Linked DNA regions of Sus scrofa. The protein of the gene in region 3 interacts with the protein of the main gene of each other region in a biochemical or structural test. Links are inferred from orthologs where the notes say so. Each region holds a gene or a part of one and is shown on either strand. Other genes may lie near its edges.

The links.
Region 1: the proteins of NEDD4 (region 3) and MAP3K5 form a complex in vitro, tested with the Homo sapiens proteins (2 studies listed by BioGRID, with this or other methods). The link is inferred for Sus scrofa from reciprocal best matches to the Homo sapiens genes NEDD4 and MAP3K5.
Region 2: the proteins of NEDD4 (region 3) and RNF11 form a complex in vitro, tested with the Homo sapiens proteins (3 studies listed by BioGRID and IntAct, with this or other methods). The link is inferred for Sus scrofa from reciprocal best matches to the Homo sapiens genes NEDD4 and RNF11.
Region 4: the proteins of NEDD4 (region 3) and SGK1 form a complex in vitro, tested with the Homo sapiens proteins (3 studies listed by BioGRID, with this or other methods). The link is inferred for Sus scrofa from reciprocal best matches to the Homo sapiens genes NEDD4 and SGK1.
Region 5: the proteins of NEDD4 (region 3) and RAP2A form a complex in vitro, tested with the Homo sapiens proteins (2 studies listed by BioGRID). The link is inferred for Sus scrofa from reciprocal best matches to the Homo sapiens genes NEDD4 and RAP2A.
Region 6: the proteins of NEDD4 (region 3) and MLANA form a complex in vitro, tested with the Homo sapiens proteins (2 studies listed by BioGRID and IntAct, with this or other methods). The link is inferred for Sus scrofa from reciprocal best matches to the Homo sapiens genes NEDD4 and MLANA.
Region 7: of the proteins of NEDD4 (region 3) and SQSTM1, one has a biochemical effect on the other in vitro, tested with the Homo sapiens proteins (2 studies listed by BioGRID). The link is inferred for Sus scrofa from reciprocal best matches to the Homo sapiens genes NEDD4 and SQSTM1.

The regions. Positions count from the first base shown.
Region 1 is NC_010443.5:27,470,643-27,474,142, forward strand, and holds part of MAP3K5 (mitogen-activated protein kinase kinase kinase 5), read left to right. Parts: intron 1-2,033; coding exon 2,034-2,227; intron 2,228-3,118; coding exon 3,119-3,287; intron 3,288-3,500. UniProt on the Homo sapiens protein: Serine/threonine kinase which acts as an essential component of the MAP kinase signal transduction pathway. Plays an important role in the cascades of cellular responses evoked by changes in the environment.
Region 2 is NC_010448.4:160,878,041-160,880,713, reverse strand, and holds part of RNF11 (RING finger protein 11), read left to right. Parts: intron 1-934; coding exon 935-1,104; intron 1,105-2,673. UniProt on the Homo sapiens protein: Essential component of a ubiquitin-editing protein complex, comprising also TNFAIP3, ITCH and TAX1BP1, that ensures the transient nature of inflammatory signaling pathways. Promotes the association of TNFAIP3 to RIPK1 after TNF stimulation.
Region 3 is NC_010443.5:116,059,707-116,063,206, reverse strand, and holds part of NEDD4 (E3 ubiquitin-protein ligase NEDD4), read right to left. Parts: intron 3,464-3,500; coding exon 3,390-3,463; intron 2,990-3,389; coding exon 2,929-2,989; intron 561-2,928; coding exon 501-560; intron 419-500; coding exon 311-418; intron 1-310. UniProt on the Homo sapiens protein: E3 ubiquitin-protein ligase which accepts ubiquitin from an E2 ubiquitin-conjugating enzyme in the form of a thioester and then directly transfers the ubiquitin to targeted substrates. Specifically ubiquitinates 'Lys-63' in target proteins.
Region 4 is NC_010443.5:29,747,786-29,750,952, forward strand, and holds part of SGK1 (serine/threonine-protein kinase Sgk1), read left to right. Parts: intron 1-109; exon of another isoform or gene 110-162; coding exon of another isoform or gene 163-238; intron 239-373; coding exon 374-449; intron 450-904; coding exon 905-980; intron 981-1,391; coding exon 1,392-1,496; intron 1,497-1,600; coding exon 1,601-1,684; intron 1,685-1,799; coding exon 1,800-1,931; intron 1,932-2,194; coding exon 2,195-2,307; intron 2,308-2,658; coding exon 2,659-2,782; intron 2,783-3,167. UniProt on the Homo sapiens protein: Serine/threonine-protein kinase which is involved in the regulation of a wide variety of ion channels, membrane transporters, cellular enzymes, transcription factors, neuronal excitability, cell growth, proliferation, survival, migration and apoptosis.
Region 5 is NC_010453.5:66,713,662-66,717,161, forward strand, and holds part of RAP2A (ras-related protein Rap-2a), read left to right. Parts: intron 1-1,039; coding exon 1,040-1,277; 3' UTR 1,278-3,500. UniProt on the Homo sapiens protein: Small GTP-binding protein which cycles between a GDP-bound inactive and a GTP-bound active form. In its active form interacts with and regulates several effectors including MAP4K4, MINK1 and TNIK.
Region 6 is NC_010443.5:216,242,661-216,246,958, reverse strand, and holds the start of MLANA (melanoma antigen recognized by T-cells 1), read left to right. Parts: upstream 1-1,498; 5' UTR 1,499-1,599; coding exon 1,600-1,676; intron 1,677-4,298. UniProt on the Homo sapiens protein: Involved in melanosome biogenesis by ensuring the stability of GPR143. Plays a vital role in the expression, stability, trafficking, and processing of melanocyte protein PMEL, which is critical to the formation of stage II melanosomes.
Region 7 is NC_010444.4:78,761,199-78,765,461, reverse strand, and holds the start of SQSTM1 (sequestosome-1), read left to right. Parts: upstream 1-1,463; coding exon 1,464-1,782; intron 1,783-3,892; coding exon 3,893-3,988; intron 3,989-4,263. UniProt on the Homo sapiens protein: Molecular adapter required for selective macroautophagy (aggrephagy) by acting as a bridge between polyubiquitinated proteins and autophagosomes.

The DNA.
Region 1 (3,500 bases), about 89 Mb from region 3:
TGGGTTCTTAACCCACTGAGCCACAGCAGGAACTCCTCAAGTCTGGTTCTATTTTCTGAATTTTTTTTGTTTTTTTTGTCTTTTTGCCATTTCTTGGGCCGCTCCAGCGGCATATGGAGGTTCCCAGGCTAGGGGTCGAATTGGAGCTGTAGCCGCCAGCCTACGCCAGAGCCACAGCAACGCAGGATCCGAGCCGCGTCTCATGGCACAGCTCACGGCAACGCCGGATCATTAACCCACTGAGCAAGGGCAGGGATCGAACCCGCAATCTCATGGTTCCTAGTCGGATTCGTTAGCCACTGCGCCACGACGGGAACTCCCCTATTTTCTGAATTTTTGCTTTTTAAGTGTCCCACTCTTCTTTAGGGAGCCTCATTTAGGACGGTGGAGTTGCCTTTCTTCTTTCTTCTTCCTCTCTTTCAGTACCTGTAGCCAGCTGACTAGTCTTGAGGATTCTTTCTTTTTGACTATGGTGCACACGTCCACTACCACTGCTGCCAATCTGGTCATGCTTTGTAGCTTCCCACCTAATTTCCTTAAATCTCGTTTCTTTCTCTTTCAGTTCATTCTCTTTTCTGCCCAGACTGTCAAAATGCATAATTTTGTTTACGTTTCCTTTCCTGCTCTGAAGCCTTCTGTGCTTCCCACTGCCCAGCATATAGAGTTTGAAATCCTTAACTTTGCATTCAGTCCCTTCCCTGAGCCCTAAGCTCCGGTCAGATCCTCTTACTCAGGGGTGTTCAATCCAATTTCTCCTTTATTCTTCCCAGCACCCCTTTGGTTTGCACTAGGGCACCCTCACTTGACGCCGTCAGGAACAGATAGCAGGGCGTGATGGGTGAGCGCAGAGTGGCAGGGGCTGCAGTTAGAGAGAGAGGCGGGGTTTGGATCGTCAAGCCCTAGTGGGCTACCGTGCCCTGTTTTATCTTCATCCCAGGAGCAAGGGAGAGGGCTTGAAGCAGCTGAGGGAAGTCCTCTGATATAGGTTGTTAAAAGACCACTTTGACAGGTGGGTAGATAATAGATTGGCAGGCAAGATGGGAAGCAGGGAGCCCAGCTAAGAGCCAGTGAGGGCAGCTCAGGCTGGGCAGGCTGATGACGTGGTCCGCAGTGCTGGCCGAGAAGATGGACGGAAATGGACAAACACGAGATATGTTTTAGAGGTAGAACAGACAGGACTTGGACAGGCTGTGGGAGATGAAGAAGATGGAAGCATCAGGGATAACGTCAGGGTCTCTAGACTTAGTAACTGGCACACGCCCAGAGCCGCGATGGAGCAGCCTGGAGGAGAGGAGCTTATTCTGGCATCTCTCACACGTGCCTGTCACGTGGGGCGCCCTTCCACATTAGCTCGGGTCATTTCTGTGTATTTATGCGGTGTCACCCTGAGTAAAATTCAAGTTGCCAGAAGGCTAAAGGCTTTTTTTTAATTACCCTGTTTTTCCTACTGCGTATATCATGCCTTAGCCATGAGAAATGGTGAATAAATATTTAATCGATTGATAGAAACTGTGCCATACTATTTTTTAAATCATCTGTAAGTCCGAATTATTTGAAGGAAGCAGTAAAAGAAATTGGAGGAAATGCCTATTTTCTTTCTTTTCTTTTTTCTTTTTTTCTTTTTTTTGTCTTTTGTCTTTTTAGGGCCGCTCCCATGGCATATGGAGGCTCCCAGGCTAGGGGTCTAATCGGAGCTGTAGCCACTGGCCTACACCACAGCCACAGCAATGCCAGATCTGAGCCGCATCTGTGACGTACACCGCAGCTCACGGCAATGCAGCATCCTTAACCCACTGAGCAAGGCCAGGGATAGAACCTGCAACCTTATGGTTCGTAGTCAGATTCGTTTCCACTGCACCTCGACAGGAACTCCCGAGATTTCCATTTTCATAGGTCCTAAAGAAGAGGCTTTTTGATTTCCCTTCACATTCAGGGTTATTGTTTCAAATGGCTCACCGAAGTAAGGTTTGGGGTTACATTCGTGTGGAATCTGCAGGCCAGCTGATCACCTCCTGTGACTCCTCTTTCCACAGATGTGCACTGGGAATTACACGTTTGTTCCGTACATGATAACTCCGCATAATAAGGTCTACTGCTGTGATAGCAGCTTCATGAAGGGCTTGACAGAGCTCATGCAGCCGAACTTCGAGCTGCTACTCGGACCCATCTGCTTACCTCTTGTGGATCGTTTCATTCAGCTTTTGAAGGTGGCACAAGCAAGTTCCAGGTAAAATGTCATAATGCCATTTGGCGAGGATAATGATGTGCTCGTCTACATCATTTATTCGTACATCTTTTTTTTTTTTTTTTTTTGGCCATGCCTGTGGTATGTGGAAGTTTCCAAGGCCAGGGATTGAACCCTTGCCACTGCAGTGACGATGCCAGATCCTTAACCCACTGCGCCACAAGAGAACTCCTACCTGTGTATTTTATCAGATGTTTCCTACATATAGTACTCAGCCAAGAATCAGGAAAAAATATGTAATATCCTCTAAGTAGATAAAAGAGATGCTGTACAGTCTACCTCCTGCATTTTGTCCACTTTATTCATGGGAGAACAATTTGAAATCAGAAAAAAGACTGCTAACGGTATTATAGTAATGGTAGAGCTAAAAATATATTCCAAATTAGTACAGAAATATTATCTAAATAAATGTCCAAGGACTTTTAGTGTAAGGATAAGAACTCTAAAAATTGCTGAAAGCATTATTGTATTTTAGTTAAAAGCAGGCATAATAAATGATGCTGGATTAGAAAATAAAGGTTATATTATGTTCAAATCATAGGCACACGTAATTATTTAGAATAATTTCTACTCCAAACAGCAAAATGAAAAATAAATTTTTAACATTCTAAAATGGTACATTGCAAGGTCTTGGAAAATTCGTTAGCGTAGAGTGTCTTTACCTTTAATTCTTTCTGAAGCAAGGTAGAGTGTTAAAAGAATAGGAAGCCTGATTTTTCAATAATACCAGATAGATGAGATATTCATTTTATGCATCTTAATGAACTGAAAGGTATGAATTCTGCAGATATCATTCCTTTCCTTATAAAATCATTGCTTTTCGTTGAAATTCTTTATAATATTAACCATTAAAATTGTGTGCTTTCTCACCAGCCAGTATTTCCGAGAGTCTATACTCAACGATATCAGGAAAGCTCGTAACTTATACACTGGTAAAGAATTGGCAGCTGAATTGGCAAGAATTCGACAGCGGGTGGATAATATTGAAGTGCTGACAGCAGATATTGTCATAAATCTATTGCTTTCCTACAGAGATATTCAGGTGAGAAGGTGCTTGGAGTCAAGTCTTTGTCATCTAGCATGCTGCAGGAATAAGGGGGTATTACATCCAATTTCAGTTACCTAATAAGTCAGTACATGTCCCTACATGTAATCTTTTATTGGCTCTTCTAAGCTTCCCACCCATAGATTTTATGATAAATGAAATAGACTCACATAAGTCAACCACTAGTGATTATGAAAGACTTGTATGATA
Region 2 (2,673 bases), on a different chromosome or scaffold from region 3:
GGCGTTGCCGTGAGCTGTGGTGTAGGTTGCAGACGCGGCTCGGATCCTGCATTGCTGTGGCTCTGGTGTAGGCCAGTGGCTCCAGCTCCTATTCGACCCCTAGCCTGGGAACCTCCATATGCCGAGGGAGTGGCCCAAGAAATAGCAAAAAGACAAAAAAAAAATTTAAAAATAAAGTTATTGTCTATATGGAAAGAAACAAGTTTGCAAATAAGGAGACTCTGTAATGGCCAATTCTAATGTAAATAATGGTATACTGAGGTCACAATACTCTGTTATGGCCTATAGAATATTGAATACAGGGAGTTCTTGTCATGGCTCAGTGGAAATGAATTTGACCAGGAACCATGAGGTTACAGGTTCGGTCCCTGCCCTTGCTCAGTGGGTTAAGGATCCGGCATTGCCGTGAGCTGTGGTGTGGGTTGCAGACACGACTCGGATCTGGCGTTGCTGTGGCTTTGGCGTAGGCTAGCAGCAACAGCTCCGATTAGACCCCTGGGAACTTCCATATGCCATGGGCACAGCCCTAAGAAGACCCCCCCCCCAAAAAAAAATATTGGATACGGTCCTACAATATCGAATATTGAATATGGCCTACAGAATATTGAATTATTGGTTAATTAATTACATTGATTTATCTGTGTGTCAGGAATGAATATATCTAGGTTATATGGTCTTCCTGTAGAAATACTTCAGGTAACATTTCTGAAAAACATGCTAGTTTTTCAGTAAAGTTTTGTGTTTATATCCGTTAAACACGTGATATGCTAGAAGTTAAGGCAGGGTAAAACAGAATCTCACGTTTCTGCATACTTATCCGGTCTCCTTCTCCCAAAGCTCCCTACCCCAGCCAAAAAAAGAAACAAAAGGAAAGCATTACTGCAGGATACATATTTTTTAAAAATAATTCTTTTCTCCATTTTTTAAAATTTAGGAACAAGTTCCAGTTCCGGTCTATCATCCAACACCTAGCCAGACTCGCCTAGCAACTCAGCTGACTGAAGAGGAACAAATTAGGATAGCTCAAAGAATAGGCCTTATACAGCATCTGCCTAAAGGAGTTTATGACCCTGGAAGAGATGGATCAGAAAAAAAGATCCGGGAGTAAGTTTAATTTATACATGTTTTTAAGGTCTATCTTCAGAGATTTGTTTTTAAAAAATATTATCCTGCATTTGGAAGCAGATATTTAATCAGTTTGTGCAAGAAAATATTTAGAGGTAGCAATTAAGAAATTTTCATATTAAAGTAGGTAAGAAGTAACTGATGGTGCAACTTCTGTTTTTTATGTTGCCTATGTCCATTTGGATGACAGTGTCAGTTAAAAATGATTCACCTAGTGATAATAAGTGTGAACTAGTGCCAACATTGCTGGTGGCCTTTTCGTCTAGGAAAGAAATTTGGCAATATGTCAAGAACTTTTATTTATTTATTTATTTGTCTTTTTTTTTTTTTTTTTTTTTTTTTTTTTTTGTTGCTATTTCTTGGGCCGCTCCCGCGGCATATGGAGGTTCCCAGGCTAGGGGTCCAATTGGAGCTGTAGCCACCGGCCTACGCCAGAGCCACAGCAACGCGGGATCCGAGCCGTGTCTGCAACCTACACCACAGCTCACGGCAACGCCGGATCGTTAACCCACTGAGCAAGGGCAGGGACCGAACCCGCGACCTCATGGTTCCTAGTCGGATTCGTTAACCACTGCGCCACGACGGGAACTCCTCAAGAACTTTTAGACCTAAACTATTTGAGAGAGTTAATTCTAGAATCTGTCCAAAAATACATAACTCACTCCAACCCCTAGAGCTTTATGTACAAAGATATTCACCGTAAGTTGGGTTTTTAAATTTGTTTTGATTTGTTTGTTTGTTTTTTGGTGGTTTTTTTTCGGGGGGGGGGGGGGGCTGTGTCCACAGCATACAAAAAGTTCCCAGGCCAGGGACCAAACCAGTGCCACATCAGTGACCTGAGCCGCTGCAGTGACAATGCTGAATCCTTAACCCACTGCACCATAAGGGAACTGCCAGCATAGTTTTATTTAGTGGAAAACTACAGTAGAGGAATAGTTAAGTAAATTGAGGTGTAGGATATTTTGAACAGTTATGCAGCCATTAAAATTGTTTGCTAAGAGTTTTAGTGATATGAGGAAAATCTTACCTAGAGTATTGATTTCTGAAACATTGCAGAGTTGGGTTCTTCTTGAATCTGTAGAAAGGTATAGTGAGCTTTAAACTGGGGTTAATGAAGAGACCTTTAGGCTGCAACAGCCCAGTAAGTACACTGAAATTAGTGGTTCTGTTTTTACATATAGTAATTAAAGTGAAAACTGTCTTACTCCTGGATTTACACTAAAAACTCCTTTCAAGTAAACAAAATTAATCTAACATGATTCCTACTTACTAAGCTTCACATTCTCCTTCAGGTGTCTTCTGTCATCTGTAGCTGTTTCACAAGCACAGTGCTAGCAATGGACCTGATCCCCATGTGATACTGTTTTTGTTGCCCTGTTCATTGCTCTCAAAGGCTTTAAATTCCCAGGTGATTGAAATAAGAGATTGTGCTAGGTAACACTTATTAGGAAAAAATTCAGTCTGCTTGCTTAGGTAGTAGGATGATAGGCAGGATATTTTCTTCTGTTCATTTTAACACTGTCTTTATACTAGGTATGTTAAAGAGTT
Region 3 (3,500 bases):
ATAGTTCCTAGTTGGATTTGTTAACCACTGAGCCGTGACAGGAACTCTGAAGGGTCTCTTCTTTAAAGAGGAACAGAAGTGCCTCTGCTGTCACTGCCACTTACTACATTTTCAACATGTTACTTATCTATAAATATGTACGGAGGGTGGGACCATATCTAGAAGGTAAATGTATACAGTACAAAATCAAAGATAATTTTTGCGGGGTGATATATACTTTCTCTCTTATCTATATGTGATCCACACTAGAAGATGTAATATGGTTGCATCTACCGAAAAGCGATTTCTGAAAATGGAAGCTTTCCATTACCTTCCAAAACCACTGGATGACTTGATGATTTACACTGTAGCCATTTTTGTACTTTGTGTGTTCTCTCCAGTCATTCACGTCGACATCTCCCAATCCACACATGAGAAGCTACAAAATAGAAAATGTCAAACCACAAGCAAGAAAAATTGGCACAAAGGTCTTGTTTGAAGATAAGCACGATATTTCTCACCTCTAGTTCATTTTCATCAAAAATTTTGATGAGATCCTGTGGAATCAGTTCAAAAAATCCCTAGTGGAAAGAATATATTTCAAACTCCGGTTAGCAGAGTCAGAGGGTAACCCTGTATTTCAGCTTCGGGCATTACTGGAGAAATCCCAAGGCCACACAGATTCCTACCACTACACACCCGTGGGCTCTTAACTGACAATTCAATACTGGCAAGACGAGATATGTGTCTGTTCTCTCACTGATCCCTCAAAGTGGCCGTTTTAAAACTCTGCACTTTTCAAGCCTCCTTCTCTTCCATATCATCCCTTCTTCACAGCAGATAATATCTATTTTAGAATGAAAATTGAGGCGACGCTGCAGGATGGAATTCCCTCAGCCTTCTGCATCCCCCCAGACCAACCAGCACCAACATCCATGAGGGCTTCCTCCCCCGCCCTGGGGAGAGGGACCACTTCCTCTCAGTGCTTCTTCTGCCTCAAGGATGTCATCTCACGACATTTTTATCAGCTCACTCTTTATGCATCGAAATTCGTTCAAGCCATATCTACCTTAAAAACAAAACAAAAAGGCAAGCCCCTCTCTTTTCTCGTCACAGTCATGTTCTGGACAGTGTTACTGTACCTTCCAAAGCTACCTGCTCACCTCCATCTCTCCCTCAACCACTGCAATCTGACCTCTTCATCAGTGCTCTCCTGAAGCTGTCCTAGAGAAAGTCAAAGACAGCTTTGCAGCTGCCTCTGATAAACACTTTCTAGATCCCCACAGTATCGGACTTCTCTGCACTATGATATTGTTGACAACACCTATGCTCTTGAAACTCTGTCTGCTATTCATGGTTTATCTCCTATGTCTTCATCTGCCTTAGCTGATTTCCACTGATGTTTCTTCTGCTGTTCATTCCTTAAATGTTGGTGTTCTCACAGCCCCCCGTGTGGCCATCCACTGTCACCATTCTTAGGGTTCTTTGGAATTTTCCATCCTGTCTAGTCCACAGTTGCACTACACACATGCAGATGATCCCCACGCTGCCATCCTTTAAATCACCCAATGCTATAGCTCTCCCTTCCTGAGGGCCATTCAGATACACACACAGCTCTCTTCCCACCATCCGGACCGTTTCTCACCCAGCTAGCCTCCGCTGCTAGTCCTGCCCTCCTCTAGTTCACTGCATACCCCTTCAAGAATGATCTGGCCAAAATGTAACACCGAATCCTGGTGTTTTATGTTTAATACCATTTAATGCCACCTTCTTTTCTCACTGTCTGGATTTCAGTGAAAACTATACATAAACAGGCCCGCCATCATCTGGTTCTGCTCAGCTTTCCAGGCTTAGTTTTAGCTCTTTCATTCCTTTTTTTTTTTTTAGGGCCACACCTGTGGCATATGGAAGTTCCCAGGCTAGGGGTTGAATTAGAGCTGCAGCTGCCAGCCTATACCACAGCCACAGCACATCTGCGACCTACACCGCAGCTCACGACAACACTGGAGCCTTAACCCAATGAGCGAGGCCATTACCCTCATGGTACTAGTTGGGTTTTGCTCAGCCACAATGGCATCCTCTTACCAATAAGGTAACTGCTGGCACTTTCTCTAAGGTGTGCATAGTCCGTCTTACTGCCAGACTTCACATGTGCTGCTCCCTCTGCTTAGAGTTGCATTTCCTCCATCTCTGTGGCTGGCCAGTCCCTGCCCCTGCCTCCTCCCCTCCCTGCTCTGGTGTCTACACCTCTCCTCTGCTTACCTAGCACTTCAGGTTCCCTCTGTCCATTTCACCCTTTAGATGCTCTGTTCCTTGACAGCAGGCCCTATGTCTTTTTGTCTTGCATAGCACCAGACACAGAGTCAGTGCTTGCTACTGAATACAGGAAAAAGCATGTGATAAATATTTAACAGAAGGCCTTTATTAGCGTAAGAAATGATGACAGCCTAAATGTCCATCAATTGGGAAGAATAACCTGGGAATTTACATCATGAATAAAATGCAGCTACAAAGAAAGGTCACTAAATATGTTGATCTGTTAAGACCTCCAAAAATATTTGATAAGAGAAAGCAAGTCACAAGCCACCATGGACAGTGTGAGCCCATTACAGAAAGAAGCAAATGGTAGACTCTGCCACCCCTCTAGCACTCGTGTTCCTCTGTTCACCTAAGGTTACATAAGGTGGCAGGAGTGGAACTATAAAAGGTGAGAGGAAACGACAGTTATTAAGGGGGGAGGTCAACATTTACTGTATGGATTCTTAAATGACTGTGTTTTAATTGAACACCTATTCATTTACTATTTTGCTAATACGAAGATATACTTACAAATGGTCTTAAAAAGTAAGCCACATGCTACTTTTTCTCTGGTATAATAGGGCCCAATTATTTAAAACTTATGGACTGGACTGGGAAATTACAGAACAGCAAACAAAAGAAAATGAATACCTCCTTAAAAGCAGCCATTTGCTTCTGGATTCGGTTTACAAATCGCCATTGTATTACAAGACTAAAAGAAACAAAACATTTCATCTTTTCCATAGGAACCAAGAAAAAATGTTAAGGTACATGTATTTTGATTAGAAACAAACAAACAAAAAAAACAAAGGCTAGGTAGGCCCAAGGAAAAAGTTGAATGTAATATGACATTGTGATAAAAAGAGAAAAAAGAGGGAATTTCCTGGCGGCTTAGTAGTTAAAGACTCAGCATTGTCACTGATGTGACTGGTTTGATCCCTGGCTCTGAGAGCTTCTGCATGCTATGGATATGGCCAATAAATAAATAATAAGTAAACAATACTTTTTTATTTTAAAAAAGCAAGAAAACAAAATTGAGACTCTGACTCATTGAGAAAGAAGGCACAAAATTATTTCCCTTAAAGTATTTATAGTTACAACAAAATACTTACTAAATATATTCCTTTTTGTTCTTATTGGTGACAACTATTTCTGATCCACCATTTTTCAACTCATGTTGATGTGTCTAAAATTAAGCATAATACCTTGATATGTTATTTTAG
Region 4 (3,167 bases), about 86 Mb from region 3:
CGGGGGCGGGGCCGGGGCGGGGCCAGGCAGCGCCACTTCCTCATTGTTGCGTGGGCCCCGCCCCCGCGGCGACAAAACGCTTATAAAGGCGGTGGCAGTGCGGGAGCGCAGTGTTGGCTGAGCAGGTCTCCCTTCGCTAGCAACTCCCTGTTCTCTGTGACGATGACAGTGAAAACCGAGGCTGCTAGGAACACACTCACTTACTCCAGAATGAGGGGAATGGTAGCAATTCTCATCGGTGAGTGTAGGAATACGGCTGGATTTCTAGGTTTCGCGAAGTGGAAATTTTGCAAAGTCCCGGATCAGATTAGTGTGCGTGGCGTTGGATGTTACAATACCGTCTAAACATGTATTTCTCCTCTCTAATTCACAGCTTTCATGAAACAGAGAAGGATGGGCCTGAACGACTTTATTCAGAAGATTGCCAATAATTCCTATGCATGCAAACAGTAAGTTGGGGGGCGATTTGGGAAAATAAACATAAGTAGTAAAATTTTCCATTTACCAGTAGTGAAGACACATTCTCATCAGTATATGGATCAGGATGCTAAAGACTTTCTGGGGGGGAGGGGGCGGGTCCGTTTTCTCTTTAGGTTCTAATTATTTAAAACATTTGAAACATTAGAATTAATTAGCTGATTGGGCTTGTTCTAGAAATTCAAGAGGAAACTTTCATGTGTGCCTAATTAATCCCCTCTCTCCACAAAGGACAACCGTCCTCTCTGTAGTTAACTGGGTTTATTCTTTTCTTTGGCGATTATTTTCTTTAGCTGAGTAGTTGATTTGGATGTTTTTAGTTGAAACACTGAATTCTCCGGAAAAGTTGAGCCAGAAATTCACTGTTGGTGTTGTTCTGCCCCCTTGTGGAGAGCGAGCAGGTTCTAACTTCTTCCTTTCTTTGCAGCTCTGAAGTTCAGTCCATTTTGAAAATCTCTCAACCTCAGGAGCCTGAGCTTATGAATGCCAACCCTTCTCCTCCTGTAAGTGTCCTCTGTTGTGATGCATCAATGGAGAAATCTTGTAAATGAGTCATATAAGTCTTCCTACATTGTTGAGTTAAAACAGCATTTCTAGAAGTTAGTGTCAAGGCAGGAATGCCTCATTAGTGCATGGCAAACAAGTGACATAAGTAAGCACTTAAGTATGAGTCAGTGGAGTATTTTAAAAGGCATATTTCATAAGGGTATTTTCTGTTTAACAATAGCACGACTGTACAATTTCCATACGATAGTCACATGTATAGATGAAAAGTAGTTTGGAATGTGTTTATAGATATATGGGGACCTGCCTCAGTCATCTGTAGATGTATTCTCCTTTACATTGCCTGTACTGTATAACTGATAATCTTCCTTTGAAGCAAGGCTATTAAAAGAAAACATTTTATTTTCCAGCCAAGTCCTTCTCAGCAAATCAACCTGGGCCCATCTTCCAATCCTCATGCTAAACCGTCTGACTTTCACTTCTTGAAAGTGATTGGGAAGGGCAGTTTTGGAAAGGTAATTTCACATCTGAATTTTTCATTATTTGCAGTCCTTCGTATGCTCATTTTACATACTCCCTGAATGTGGCCAGCAAAATTGACTTTTAATTTAAATTTCAGGTTCTTCTAGCAAGACACAAAGCAGAAGAAGCATTCTATGCAGTCAAAGTTTTACAAAAGAAGGCGATCCTGAAAAAGAAGGAGGTATGAGTTGGGCTTGGTGGGTGGAAGTTGGAGATAAGACATTCACAGACTTTACCTTGGAATCTTTGGAGCCGAGTTGCAATTTGCCACTAACTCTTCATTGTCCTTTTCATAGGAAAAGCACATTATGTCGGAGCGGAATGTTCTCCTGAAGAATGTGAAACACCCTTTCCTGGTGGGCCTTCATTTCTCTTTCCAGACTGCTGACAAACTGTACTTTGTCCTAGACTACATTAACGGTGGAGAGGTGAGCAGAGGTGTTAGGAGGTGACCTTGGGTGTCTGTGGGCAGCCTGCTGAGAGGAAAGTGTTGAAAAGATACTCAGTGGGGGGAAAAGTTATCAGAATGAACATTCCCTTTGAACCTGCTTTTAGCCAGCTTTCAAATAGTTAATAGACTATTTAGGGCCGCTTCCTGCCATTGTCCTCTTTAGCTATATATGTCAAGACTAATTCTAGGCATTGTCCTCAGGCTTTGGCAGCTCTGCTAACTCTGTTTTGTCTCTTGCAGTTGTTCTACCATCTCCAGAGGGAGCGATGCTTCCTGGAACCACGGGCTCGGTTCTATGCTGCTGAAATAGCCAGTGCCTTGGGTTACCTGCACTCTCTGAACATCGTTTATAGGTGAGCTGAAGAGCTCTTAAGGCTCCCTTCTGTGCATAAAGGAGACAGAAGATAACATAGCCCTAGGTTTTGACCTAGCCTTTGACGGGGTCTTAAAATCATTGTGTCAAGGCACAGCTTGGTTACCTAAACCCAGATCCCTGAGCATGTGAGCTGTCTTTGACTCCGTGCCACTAGGGAACTAGCCAGCGAGGATCGTGCCTAATCCAGAGGAGATGAACAGAACAAGGACTCCCTTTCATATTCACAACTCCAGTGAATGTGAAATGCCTAACAGCCCCAGCAGTGGTCTTTTACAGAGGGTTGCTCATGTAGTGAAATTTACTTATGTGACTATTCTTTTTTTTACAGAGACTTAAAACCAGAGAATATTTTGCTAGATTCACAGGGACACATTGTCCTTACCGACTTTGGACTCTGCAAGGAGAACATTGAACACAACGGCACGACATCCACCTTCTGCGGCACACCTGAGGTAGGCGCACTCTTGATTTGGTGCCTGCACCCCCACCCCCGCCAGGAAGAGAGAAGTGCCCTAAGGCTTTTAACTACTGAAAGAATCAACTGCTCTTGGATTTGGGGGGCGGGGGGCAATTCAGTGTGAGTAAAACACATTGGCTGTTGGAGGCATGAGGAATTCCAAGGCCTCACGTTGCTTTAATTAAAACTAGCTGTTTGCAAGATCTGTGACATAAGGGTTTCTAAATCCCCACATAAGCTATCTGAGGGATGCCCAATAGCTTTGTAAATGTCAGGACGTATAAGTGGCCAATCAGCCTCAAAGCTAGCAGTTTTATCAGGAAGCAGTCTAAAGAAAGCCAGCCTCCCAGTAGACCCCGGATCTTGCAGGCCTTTGAAGT
Region 5 (3,500 bases), on a different chromosome or scaffold from region 3:
AGAGGCCTGGCCTCCTAAGTACTGTCACATTGGGGATTAGGCTTCAACAGGAATTTTGAGGGGACACGCACTGAGTCTGTATCACACTGATTCTAGTCAGGAAGGAAAAGAAGAGAGAACATCAAATAAAGCTAATGATTGAAATGTCTCAGTCCAGGAGTTCCCATCATGGCGCAGCGGAAAAGAATCCGACTAGGAACCAAGAGGTTGCGGGTTCGATCCCTAGCCTCACTCAGTGGGTTAAGGATCCAGTGTTGCCATGAACCGTGGCATAGGTCGCAGACGTGGCTCGGATCCTGCATGGCTGTGGCTGTGGCGTAGGCCAACAGCTGCAGCTCTGATTAGACCCCTACCTGGAAACTTCTATATGCCACGTGTGCAGCCCTAAAAAGCAAAAAAAAAAAAAAAAAAATTAAAAAAAAATGAAATGTTTCAGTCCATGTCAGGCTGAAAAGAACCATAGCTGTCTTTCAACAGGCTCATCTATAAGGGTTTTTGTAAAGAGATAGAATATGGTTATACTTGATGGGGTCTATCCTCATGAGTTCTGCTAGCTCTTTTCTTATATTGGAACTGTTCGAACATCAGTTTTACAGACTTGTAGAACATTAAAGTGCTGAGATTATATAAAATTATAAATTATTTGTTTACTCAGTAGAGCTATTACCTCATCAAGTGAAATTTTGAGTAAGCATCTCTTATAACGAAAAAGGTTTACGTTAATCCATCTAAGGGGACTTCTTCGGAGATTCGGAGACTACTTTTCCGCGTCTATCTGGAAAGGTAAATTGATTTTAAAAGATGTATAATTAATTAAAAACATCATTTTGAAAAAGCTGCTTATGATCCACGAGGAGGCTGCTTCCAAATGCCTTAAGGCAGATGTTAGGGCCAACTGGAGCAAATCATTCTTCATGCCACTCAAGAGAGTATTTATTGGTAGTCGAATATCGTGAAAGAAGAGAAAATGCCTTCCAGCTGCTTAACTCTGTGCCGATAACTCCTGCAACGTCTGTGTGTTTTGTCGCTTCTCCCACAGGTATGAGAAAGTGCCAGTCATCCTGGTTGGGAACAAGGTGGACCTGGAAAGCGAGAGGGAGGTGTCCTCCGGCGAAGGCAGGGCCCTGGCGGAGGAGTGGGGCTGCCCCTTCATGGAAACGTCTGCCAAGAGTAAAACGATGGTGGACGAACTCTTTGCGGAAATCGTGAGGCAGATGAACTACGCGGCGCAGCCGGACAAGGACGACCCGTGCTGCTCCGCCTGTAACATTCAATAGCACCCGCGGCCGCCGGCTGTCCTGGTCGGGAGCCGCCCCACGTCGCGGGCGCTGCAGACCTCGCCCGCCGGGCTGCGGAGCCCCCAGGACGCGTGCCGTGCTCTCCAGGGGAGGAGCAGCCCTTGTCGGGAGTGGAGCAGGGATTGTCTGCCGATGTCCCCGAGGAACATTTGGCTTCATAGCCCCGGCGTCCACCACTGCCCTCGGTCTGCTCCCGGCACCTGCAGCTGAGGGCGGAGCCAGTCCCTCGGCAGGGCGGGGTCTCCTTGGACCGGAGGATGGCGCTGTCACCCAGGGGACAGACGCAACTATGGCATCCATTGAAAATGACCATGGGAGAGAAACCAGAAGAATTCCTATGACCGCTCACAATTAAAATATTTTGTCTTCTTAAAAAAAAAATAATAATAAGTAAAGGAGAAATATTTTCCTACGAGAGTACTGGATTTCAGGAACTGAGATAGTGCTTCTAACCAATGTATTGCGTCAAGTAAGATAGTAACAGCTGACCTGCCAGCAGCATTATGAGGAGAGATCCTTTGCTCAGCTGACACCTTTCTGTTTTTGAGACTCGATGCTTAATTGTCGATGTTATCCTAATTTGTGACACAGAACTAACTCACGCATCAGTCCCTGGTAGAGCGAAAGTTAGAACAGGTTGTGTCAAAAATACAGCCTGGCTTCAGAATGTGTTACCACCTGCTTTGCCCAGAAAATGGAGACTCTCACAAGGGTTTGATCCGGATTGAAACCCCAGACCGACTCTCTTGTTAACCAAGCAGGGAAGGTCTTTTACTTTACTGCACAAGAAGGAAGCAACTGTGATGAAGAGAGATTGCCTAGCCTTACTAACGAGAAGCGTTCTAGTAGATGAACTAGCACCACCATGTACGGAAAACGAAGCCATGTTGCAGCTACAGGTTCCCGTTTGCAGAAAAAAACCTCCCAGGACAGTACAAATATCTAGCATTTTTCCGTTCGTTATAGCAGCAGATTCCTTCTTGCCTTTAAGGGCTATGGTTGTGGTGTGATTCTTGGCTAACCTGCTTTCAAAATCAGTTTTTGCTGTAGCAGAGCTTTATTGCAGGCATTTAAAACATGGAATAACCATGTGAAATAATTTGGGCTTCAAAGTAGAACATAAATTATAGAGTGGAAGGTAAGAGACAAAAAACAAAAACAAAAAACACCTTTATCTTTCATTTTCCTGGAGAATTATATATAAGGTTTTCTTATAACAATTTTGCCCTGATTCCTGAAGTGGCAAATAAAGCTAGAGTGAATATTTTGTTTTGAAAAGGTGCTCAAGTTCTGACATTTTTGGTTCTTACAGCCGTAAAGTATTTATCATTTGCATGACTAATGGCACAGGAAAAATCTATTCGTTAAGTTTTACAATCAAGTGCAGAAGGGTTTTCATCTAACTTCAGAGTTACAGAGGCTAAGGAGAGTACCTTGAGCTGATCCTCTGGAGAGAAATTTGGCCTTCAGAACTGCAATAGCACTGAGCCTGTGATCTACATGCTGCCCCCACATTTTGTTGGTTTCACACTTGTGCAAGTAACTTCTGGTCTGACGTGTGTAACTGAGCGAAGAGTGTGTTTGTGTGTGCATGTGTGTTTACTGTTCCTAAGAATTTGGCACAAGTCAGCTAATTGCCTATACTAAGAATGTGTACTGCAGAATATAGTGTATCAAAAACATTTTTTTCTTTTCAGTTGGTTTTTTTATGCAATTTTTGTTTATTATGGAAATCATTGGTAGCCCCCTTCCCCCAAGTGTTTAGTAAACTGGCATTAAGGTTGGAGGAGAGAAAAGAGGTGGATTGTACTTTTCATAGCTGAGAAAACAGAGCTATGTGAATAAAACCAGGCTGTGGTTATCAAGTCTTTGAATTGTGAATATTAGCATTCTTTGATGAGTTTTTTTGTTTTTTTTGTTTTTAATATATAATCCCCAGTTATGAAGCACCTTGGTTATGGAAGGAAAAGTTCTAACCATTTTTTTGAAACAAATTTCATCATGTAAAAGGTGATTTGACTCAATCATGTAGAGAAATCACATTCGGGAAGTGAGACTCTTAGCTGAAATATTTGTTCGTGCATTGTCTGAGTTTTGACGCCTCTAACTTCTCAGAATGATTCTGGTTTTTAGAATTCCATATTTAATAGCAGTTGATGACAACTAAGACTACGTGTTAGAAACATCTATAAAAGTTCTACT
Region 6 (4,298 bases), about 100 Mb from region 3:
AACGTTGATAATCCTCCGACTTCTGAAGGTTCACAGAGTCTCCCCTAGGTCCTCTCTCTAGACTGCCTTGAAGCAAAGCAGAGAGCCAGGAGAAGCCACCATTCAGGCTGCAGCTGGCTTGAGGGCACCTGTGCCTGGTCCCTTCAAGACCACTTTTCTTGGCTCAGATGGGGTGAGGTGCATGTGCAATCTCTGCACTGTTTGCCAAGGCTCAAAGCTGGAAGTAGAGATCTACACAAATAATTGAATGCAAAAATAATCAAGTATTGTGCCTCTAATTCTGAACAGAGGGTTCACCCCCGCATTATTCACCTGAGATGACCAGTGGGTTTAAGTGTGGTTTCTTCTTCACAACTGGGAAGGGCAGATTACACTTGAAATGCCCCGTGGTAAGGGTTCATGGGATCAACTCTCTGTCCCATCTCCCATGTCTCTCCAGCTATTCTAAACAGGCTCATTAATATAACTCTCTGGAAATCAGACCTTTGGGATTCATGAGAATAATATGTGGAAAGAAAAATACACAACAGTAAGGAGAGAAGAGAAGCCACTGTTAGTTTTTGATCAGCATACTTTAATCACAACCACTGAAGTTCATGAGCTTTTTGTCTATTTTTTTTCATTACTGCTTAAAATTTTGTATTACAATTAGAAATATATATATGTATTTTTAAACCCTAGTCATGAGACTTGAGCAGGGAGATGAAGAAAATGATTTTGGTAGGAGGGAAAACAAACTGTTAGACAGAGTCAGGCTTCCTGGGCTTACCTTGGATGGGTGAATGTGGACACACCCAGGCAGCTGTTTTGGGCCGTTCCTTTGTTAGAAAATGGGCTTGGAGGGTGCTGTGCTAGGTGACATGCATTATGTCACCATAGCCTTCTATTTGTCCAAGGATTGATATAAAATAAAACCTTTGTAGGAGTTCCCTCTGTGGCTCAGTGGTAACAAACCTGACTAGTATCCATAAGGATGTAGGTTTGATCCCTGGCTTTGCTCAGTGGGTTAAGGTTCTGGCACTGCCATGAGCTATGGTGTAGGTCACAGACGCGGCTCAGTTCTGGCACTGCTGTGGCATAGGCTGGCAGCTGTGATTTGACCCCTACCTGGGAACTTCCACATGCCCTGGGTGTGGGTCTTAAATAAATAAATAAGTAAATAAATCCTTTGGAGAGAAACAATTCCTCAGATTAACGACAGCCATCAGCCAGGGAAAGTAAGGAATGAATAACAATGGGTTTTTTTTTTTCTCTACAAGTTTATGTATAGAGTCAAATTGAAGTTTCTGTACCCCGCCCCTTCCACGCCACAAATAATAACTCAATTTGAAAGATCTTTGCCTTTGTTTGTGGTTTCTTCCTTGCTTAATTTTCAGTTGGTAGAAAGGGGTTAGAAACCTGAACAATTTTTACCTGTTACCAGTGAAAGAAACAGGTACAAATTCTCTCACAGAGAGAAACCAGGGGGTTCAGCTCTTATTATCAGTCATCTGGCAAAAATGTCTTCGTGGATATTTGAGATTGCAAGAACACTCTGGATGCATGAAGTGATACTTGCGTACCCTTGCTGTTAGGTGTCCTGTGACCTGACCCCACAAGATGCCAAGAGAAGAGGCTCACTTCTTCTATGGTTCCTCTAAGAAGGGGCACGGCCACTCCCACATCACAGCTGAAGAGTAAGTTCAGCAATGGACCCAGCGCCATTTCCAGTTTGCTGTTTGCTGATACAGTCTGCTGGCTTTCACCAGCACATGCCTGTCTGTAAATCCCTCTAGTGTTTATTTCTCCAGAAAGTAAAATCCCTGGCAATGAGGTGAGGAGACCCTGTGGTCCTCTGAGGGGCCTCAAATGTCTCTGAGGCCAAAGAGGCAAGGAGATAGGAAAGGTAAAAATTTGGATTTTGCCATTTTTGCCTGAATTCTTAGCTATTTGGTTCCTAGGCTGAAAAACATCTATCTGGGAGCAAGATGCCTTTTTCCTCAAGCCTTGCCTGTCTGTTTCACTAGGGTTCCTGGATGTGATTTGTAGACAGAACACAGGCAAGTTGCCAAAGAGCAAATGACTGACTCCAGGGTGAAGGTGGTGGTCATAAGATTTTCATCAATACTTTATCCTAAGGAAAGGTGTTTCATATTATGAATTAATTTAAAATAAGCATTTAAGCATTTAAAATAAAAAAAAAAACCATTTCTAAGTGCTAAGCATTGTATACCAGCATTGTATACCACTATTCTTATCTTTGAAAAAAATCTTACAATCTATTGGGAGGGTGAGGTAGTAACTCTAAGAGTAATTTCAGCAAGTGTTAAGTGCTGTGATGGGAACACAGACTGCAGGACACACTGCATGGACTAGAGTGGACAAGGGGTAGGGAGGGGGCTCCCCCCTTTTAGTGGAGACTCCAAAAGGACAAACAAGGAACTTGGTTTTTATTTGAACCACTTCTCTCTCTTTTTCTTTTTCTTTCCTTCTCTTTTTTTTTTTTTTTTTTTTTTTGGCTTTTTAGGGCCACACCTGCAGCATATGGAGGTTCCCAGTCTGGGGGTCCAATTGGAACTATGGTTGCTGGCCTATACCACAGTTTACAGCAATGCCAGATCCTTAACCCACTGAGCAAGGCCAGAGATCAAACCCACGACCTCATGGTTCCTAAGTTGGATTTGTTTCCTCTGAACCATGATGGGAACTCCTCTTTTTTTTCTTTTTATGGCTGCACCTGTGGCATGTGGAAGTTCCCTAGCTAGGGGTTGAATTAGATCTGCAGCTGAGGCCTACGCCACAGTCATAGTAATACCATATTCGAGCCACATCTGCAAGCTATGCTGTAGTTGCAGCAACACTGGATCCTTAACCTACTGATTGTGGCCGGAGATCAAAACCACATCTTCACATAGACAAGGTTGGGTCCCTAACCCACTGAGCCACAGTGGGACCTCCTAAACCACCTCTTAAGTGGTCTGCTCAGAACTTCCTGCAAACCTGCATTCTCAGGGAAGAACTGCTGAATATCTTTACTAGAGTGAACTAGCAGGGGTAGGAGAGATGTAGAACCCATCAAAGGCATGAAGGAGGAATTCAGGATGGAGCATTTCCTTAGAAAGACCCTATTGGGATTCTCTAACATCCCTGTGTGTTCGTCTGAAAGGTGAGGGGGGAGATCACCTGAAAAAAAATCCCATGAGTAAAATTTCCTCTTAGGGGGAACACTGCACATGGTATTAGGTAGGATATTATTTCAGCTTTTTTATGATGACACAACAGACTCTATCTCTGAAACCATAGTCAAGAGTTTCTCAGTTGAGAGGGCATAAGCCAACTATGGAGCTTGTGAAAATGCAGCTTCCCAAGTGCTGCTACCTAGACCCATGGAGAGGCTGACTCCACAGGTCTGGGGTGGGGAGTCCCAGGATCTGCACTTGAACTGCTTCTCAGGCAACTCTATTGTAGGAGGTATTTGGGTGACATCTGAGAGCCCTGCCAGGGTGTTTAGTAGGCTCTTTTGGTGCATTTGACACATCCTAGCATTCTTGACTCTCTATGAGTGCACTGGGACTATGTGTGAAAAGCTGGAACAGAGCTCTGTCTGTGTCATAACATCCTGAGGGATGACCACAGACCTGGGGGGTAAAATTAGAGTGCAGGCATGCTGGGAATTGAATCAGCTGCCTCAGTCACGAGAGCCCACTGAATGCTCCTTGTGACAGCTTCATTTCAGGAAAGGGTGATGTGGCAGAAAAGACACTGGCTGGGGGGTGGGGGGCGGTGGTCCCAGGCCAGCTGCTGTGAATGCTGGTTCTGCCGTTCTCTGGTGTGTAACCTTGGGCATTTACCAGCCTCAGGTCTGAGGGATGTCAGATGTGAAATGAGCATCATATCTACCCCAGAGGATTATTGTGAGGATGAAATCAAAGCCTATAGTGGGGTACTTGCCACAGTGCTTGGCACAAACTGGTGTTCAGTGAATAGCAAAGCAGCCACTTACGTGGTGGTGACAATGAGGAATCTCAGTAGGTCTCAGCATCATGATCTACGAAGTGGGCTGATCGGCTGCATAATTACATCAGCATTTTTATCCAGCACTGTCATCCATTTAGAGATGGGCAGGATGGGCTGGATGCCCCAGCAGCCCTGAGATGGTGGTGGTCTGGTGAGTGGTACTGGGCAAAGTTCTATCCAGGAGATCCCTCCATTGGCCCTTGTTTCACCAGCTCAATCTCTTATAAATCACACAGCTCTGCAGAGCCTTTCTTTAGCAAGGCACAGATAAAAGACTCAGCACTCTCCCCTTTGATCATGCT
Region 7 (4,263 bases), on a different chromosome or scaffold from region 3:
CTACTCTGAAACTCTCTGGGAGGAACAAGCCACATCTGTGGCTAGGTTCCTGCTGTGATTCCACAAGCAAGTCAGCAAACTAGCCAAACCCAATCTACCTTCCCCATGGTCTCTGGGTTTCCCATTCCCTTAAGGTTTTTTGTTTGTTTGTTTGTTTTTGTCTTTTTAGGACTGCACCTGAGGCATATGGAGATTCCCAAGCTAGGGGTCGAATCAGAGCCGTAGCCGCTGGCCTCCACCACAGCCGCAGCAACCCAGGATCTGAGGCTAGTCTGCAATTTACACCATAGCTCAGGGCAACACCAGATTGTTAACCCACTGAGCAAGGCCAGGGATCAAACCTGCGTCCTCATGATGCTAGTCAGATTTGTTTCCGCTGAGCCACGATGGGAACTCCCATCCCTTTAAGTTTTACTGACTTCCACAAACCCCACCATGAAAAAAGTGAGTGTGACTCAGCAGGTCTGACTTTCTACCTACAGAGCCCTACTTGGGAGGATTCATAGGGTGACATACCCGCCTGCTTACCTTCTTCTAAGGCACCTCCTCCCCCAACAACCCCCTTCCCCTAGGCACTTTGAACAGGTCACTTCGGTTACATAAAAGAGTGTTTCTTGGCTCCTGGGGGTGGGGTAGGGTGGGGGCTGTTGATGTAATCCCTGGGCTGCCCATGAGGCCAACAGACCTGAGATCTTTCAGGCCATTGGGCACCATTTGCTGAGCTGAACCTTGAGCTGACAAGTGGGGATGGATGGGGAGTACCGATGGGGAGTCCTTAGGGCTTCAGTGAACATTTGGTGGCCACTGAGGCTCCAGGAAGCCTTAGCAGACCCCCCAGCAAGGTGGGGATGGGAAGATCCTGTGCTCTTCTGGCATCTCTCAACCCTACCCCCTATTAAACTGGAAGCTCCTCTGGTGCTCAGGTTTGAGTTGAGTGTCTGTGCTTTAACCCAGTAAAGGGCCATTAGGGGGGATGCTGGGGGCGGCGTAGTGGGCTGCCACCTGAGAAACTGGTGGCAAGAGCGGGCCCTTGACAAGAGTGGCAAGGTCAAGACAGCGCCTCGGGAGCCAATTTGTTGTAGCTAGCAGTGTCAGCAGTGTCCCCTCTTCCTGGCTTCCAGCCTCTGTTGCCCACCTCCCTCCTGAGCTGTGCATCCCCGGTGGCCTGGGTTCCGTTTTGCTGAGTCACGGCCTGGTCAGGCCTGGGAGGGGTCTAGGGCGGGACCCTGGCCGGTCCCTTGCCCCAGGTATAGAGGTAGGCGCCAGACTTAGATGTCAGCGTGCGGGGCCGGCCTCTTGGTGTCCCTGGTGCACTTGGGGCGGTGAGGAGAGGGGTCGGGAATGAGGGGGCTCAACGGCGGGGAGAGGTAGCGAGGCTGGGGCTCCTGTAGGGCGGCTCTCGCGCGACGGCCGGGGTGGCTGGAGCCAGACCTCTGACACTCAGGCCCCGCCCCCAGGAAGCGATGAGGGGCGGGGCTTCACCCGCGTTCCCTACAAAGGCCGCGCGTCCCCTCCCGCTGCCGCCGCCGCCGCCGCTACCACCGCCGGGCTCTTCTCTTGCTCCCCAACTGGTGGTCATGGCGTCGCTCACCGTGAAGGCCTACCTTCTGGGCAAGGAGGATGCGGCCCGCGAGATTCGCCGCTTCAGCTTCTGTTTCAGCCCGGAGCCCGAGGCGGAAGCCGAGGCCGCGGCTGGCCCCGGACCTTGCGAGCGGCTGTTGAGCCGGGTGGCCGCCCTGTTCCCCGTGCTACGGCCCGGCGGCTTCCAGGCGCACTACCGCGGTGAGCAGGCCGGGCGCTCTCGGGGAGCGGTGCGGGGCCGTGACGCAGTGCTGCCCTGCCGGGCAGGGTCGCTGCTCCCTTCCTTCTCGTGGGGCTTGGGGCCGCCTGCGGGAGTTTGATCGCTCGTTGGGTGGGCGGTGGCCCGCGTGGGTTCCCATTTCGGCCTTGGGTGCCATTCTGGTAGCCAGGAGTGGTGACCACAGCCAGACCTGTGGGGTCAGGCGCTGCCAGTCCCCTAGCGGATCGGGCCCGGCGACGTAAGAGGCCTCCCCTCCCCCCACCATGATGGTGCAGATCTTGGGGAGGGCGCGCGGGGGCGTCCTCACGGCGGGCACGGGGTGGTTAGAGGGGCACTCGGGTTACACTGCCACTTGGCTACTGCCCAGCTGGGGCCCGCTAGCCCCAGATGGGGGGTTCGGATAGTAACCCGGAAGAGCCTGGGCGGGCAGATGAGGGGGAAGGGCTGGCTACGCAGAAAAGTGACGAGGGTAAATAAGCAGTGGGGAGCCCTCAGGGCTGCACAGTCTGGCCGGAGGTGGGGAGGAGAGACCATAGGTTGCCCAAGGCCAGGCGGGATCCAGACGTTATCCCGTTGGCAGCGGACAGAGGGACAAGGTGAAAACATTCTCGAGAAGTGTTGGTGTAGGGACAGAGCTCACGAGCCTGCCTAGTTTCTAGCTGAGCTGGCGTGACCGGTGGCTGCGCGGGGTGGAGTTGGGGGAGGTTGTTGTGACTGGGAGGGAGGCGGGCGGACCAGGCCCGCCGGTGGGTGGGGCCGTGCCGGGACCTCCCTCAGGACTGCTGCCAGCTCGCCAGCCCCTAGCTTTTTCAAAAAAATAACTTTGAGTTCCTGTTCACATACTGTAGTTTAAAGTGTTGAGTTTTTAGTATATTCACAGATTTGCGCAGCCATTATCACAATCATCTGGGAACATTTTCATCACTTTATACACCAACTCTGTTAGCTTCCTCCCATCCCCATCATCCTATCCTCCAATCCCCAAGCGACCCCTAATCTCTATGGATTCCCCTATTCTGGACATTTCATGTAAAAATATGTAGTCTTGTAACTGGCATCTCTTATTTACATACTATTTTCAAGGTTTACTTATGTTGTAGTATGTATCAGTACTTAATTCCTTTTTGTGGATGAATAATATTGTCTTATGGTCATGCCACATCTTGTTTAGCCATTCATTAGCTGATGGGTGTTTAGGTTGTTTCTGCCTTTTTTTTTTTTTTTTTTTTTTGTCTTTAGGGTCACACCGGAGGCATATGGAAGTTCCCAGGCTGAGGGTTGAATCAGAGCTGCAGCTGCCGGCCTACGCCACAGCCACAGCAACACCAGATCTGAGCTGTGTCTGCCACTTACACCACAGCTCATGGCAACGCCAGATCCTTAACCCACTGAGCGAGGCCAGGGATTGAACCCACATCCTCATGGATACTAGTCGGGTTTATTTCTGCTGAGCCACAACGGGAACTCCCTATTTCTGCTTTTTGACACAGTCCCTGATTTTATGGTAGATGTTGTGTTTGGTGGTCCATAGACCTGACCTGGCTTGCACATGTATTGTGTGGTTGGTTCTGTGTGGTGGTGCTTTAAATCATTTCAGCTGACATCTAAAAGTTGGAGGCTTCATACAAAGACATAATTTTAGCTTCGTTGGGGAGGAAGCAGGAAGATATATTCTACTTTCCTAAGCCACAAGAGGTCCAAGAATTTTGGAGGGGCTGGAACGCCAAGGAGCCAGTTGCAGATGGGGACCTCCCACAGTTGACAGGGTCTGGTTGGATGTAGATGGAGACAGCACCTTTCTGACAGAGCAGCTGGCCCAGAGGCAGAGTGGCAGGTGGCTGGGTGCTACCACTGCTGCCCACTGCACACAGGCACTCCACCTCCCAAGTGTGCCTGGGCCCAGCTTGGAGTGCTCACCTTCCAGGCAGTGGCAGGGTGAATGAGAAGTTCGGCCCCAGCCCTGCTTGCCCCTGGCTCACCCAGGTGGGCGTCAGTTTATAGCCCTGCACAGGCCCCTTTGGCACTGGCCTCAGTCCTTTCAGCAGCTTGTGTCCAACTGGGTGTTGATGCGCTGTCTTTTAAACATTCTAGATGAGGACGGGGACTTGGTTGCCTTTTCCAGTGACGAGGAACTGACGATGGCGATGTCGTATGTGAAGGATGACATCTTCCGTATTTACATTAAAGGTAAGGGGCTGCTCTGTGCTGAGTCAAACCAGCTTGAGGTCATGGAGAAGTTGCTCCAAAGAAGGGGTGAGGAGACTATGGGCCGTTTAAGGCAGGGCCGGGATCGTCTCTGAGGAAGGGTCCGTGTCCACCATGGTGGGGAGGTCAGAGGGTCTTTGGGTTCCCTCTTTATTGTGCCTGCGGGCCAGCTTTGGGGTTGATTTTAGTGCCGGACAAGTCTAAAATGGTGCAGACGCAACTCCCTGCTGCCTCACGCCGGCCAGGCTGCACATGCC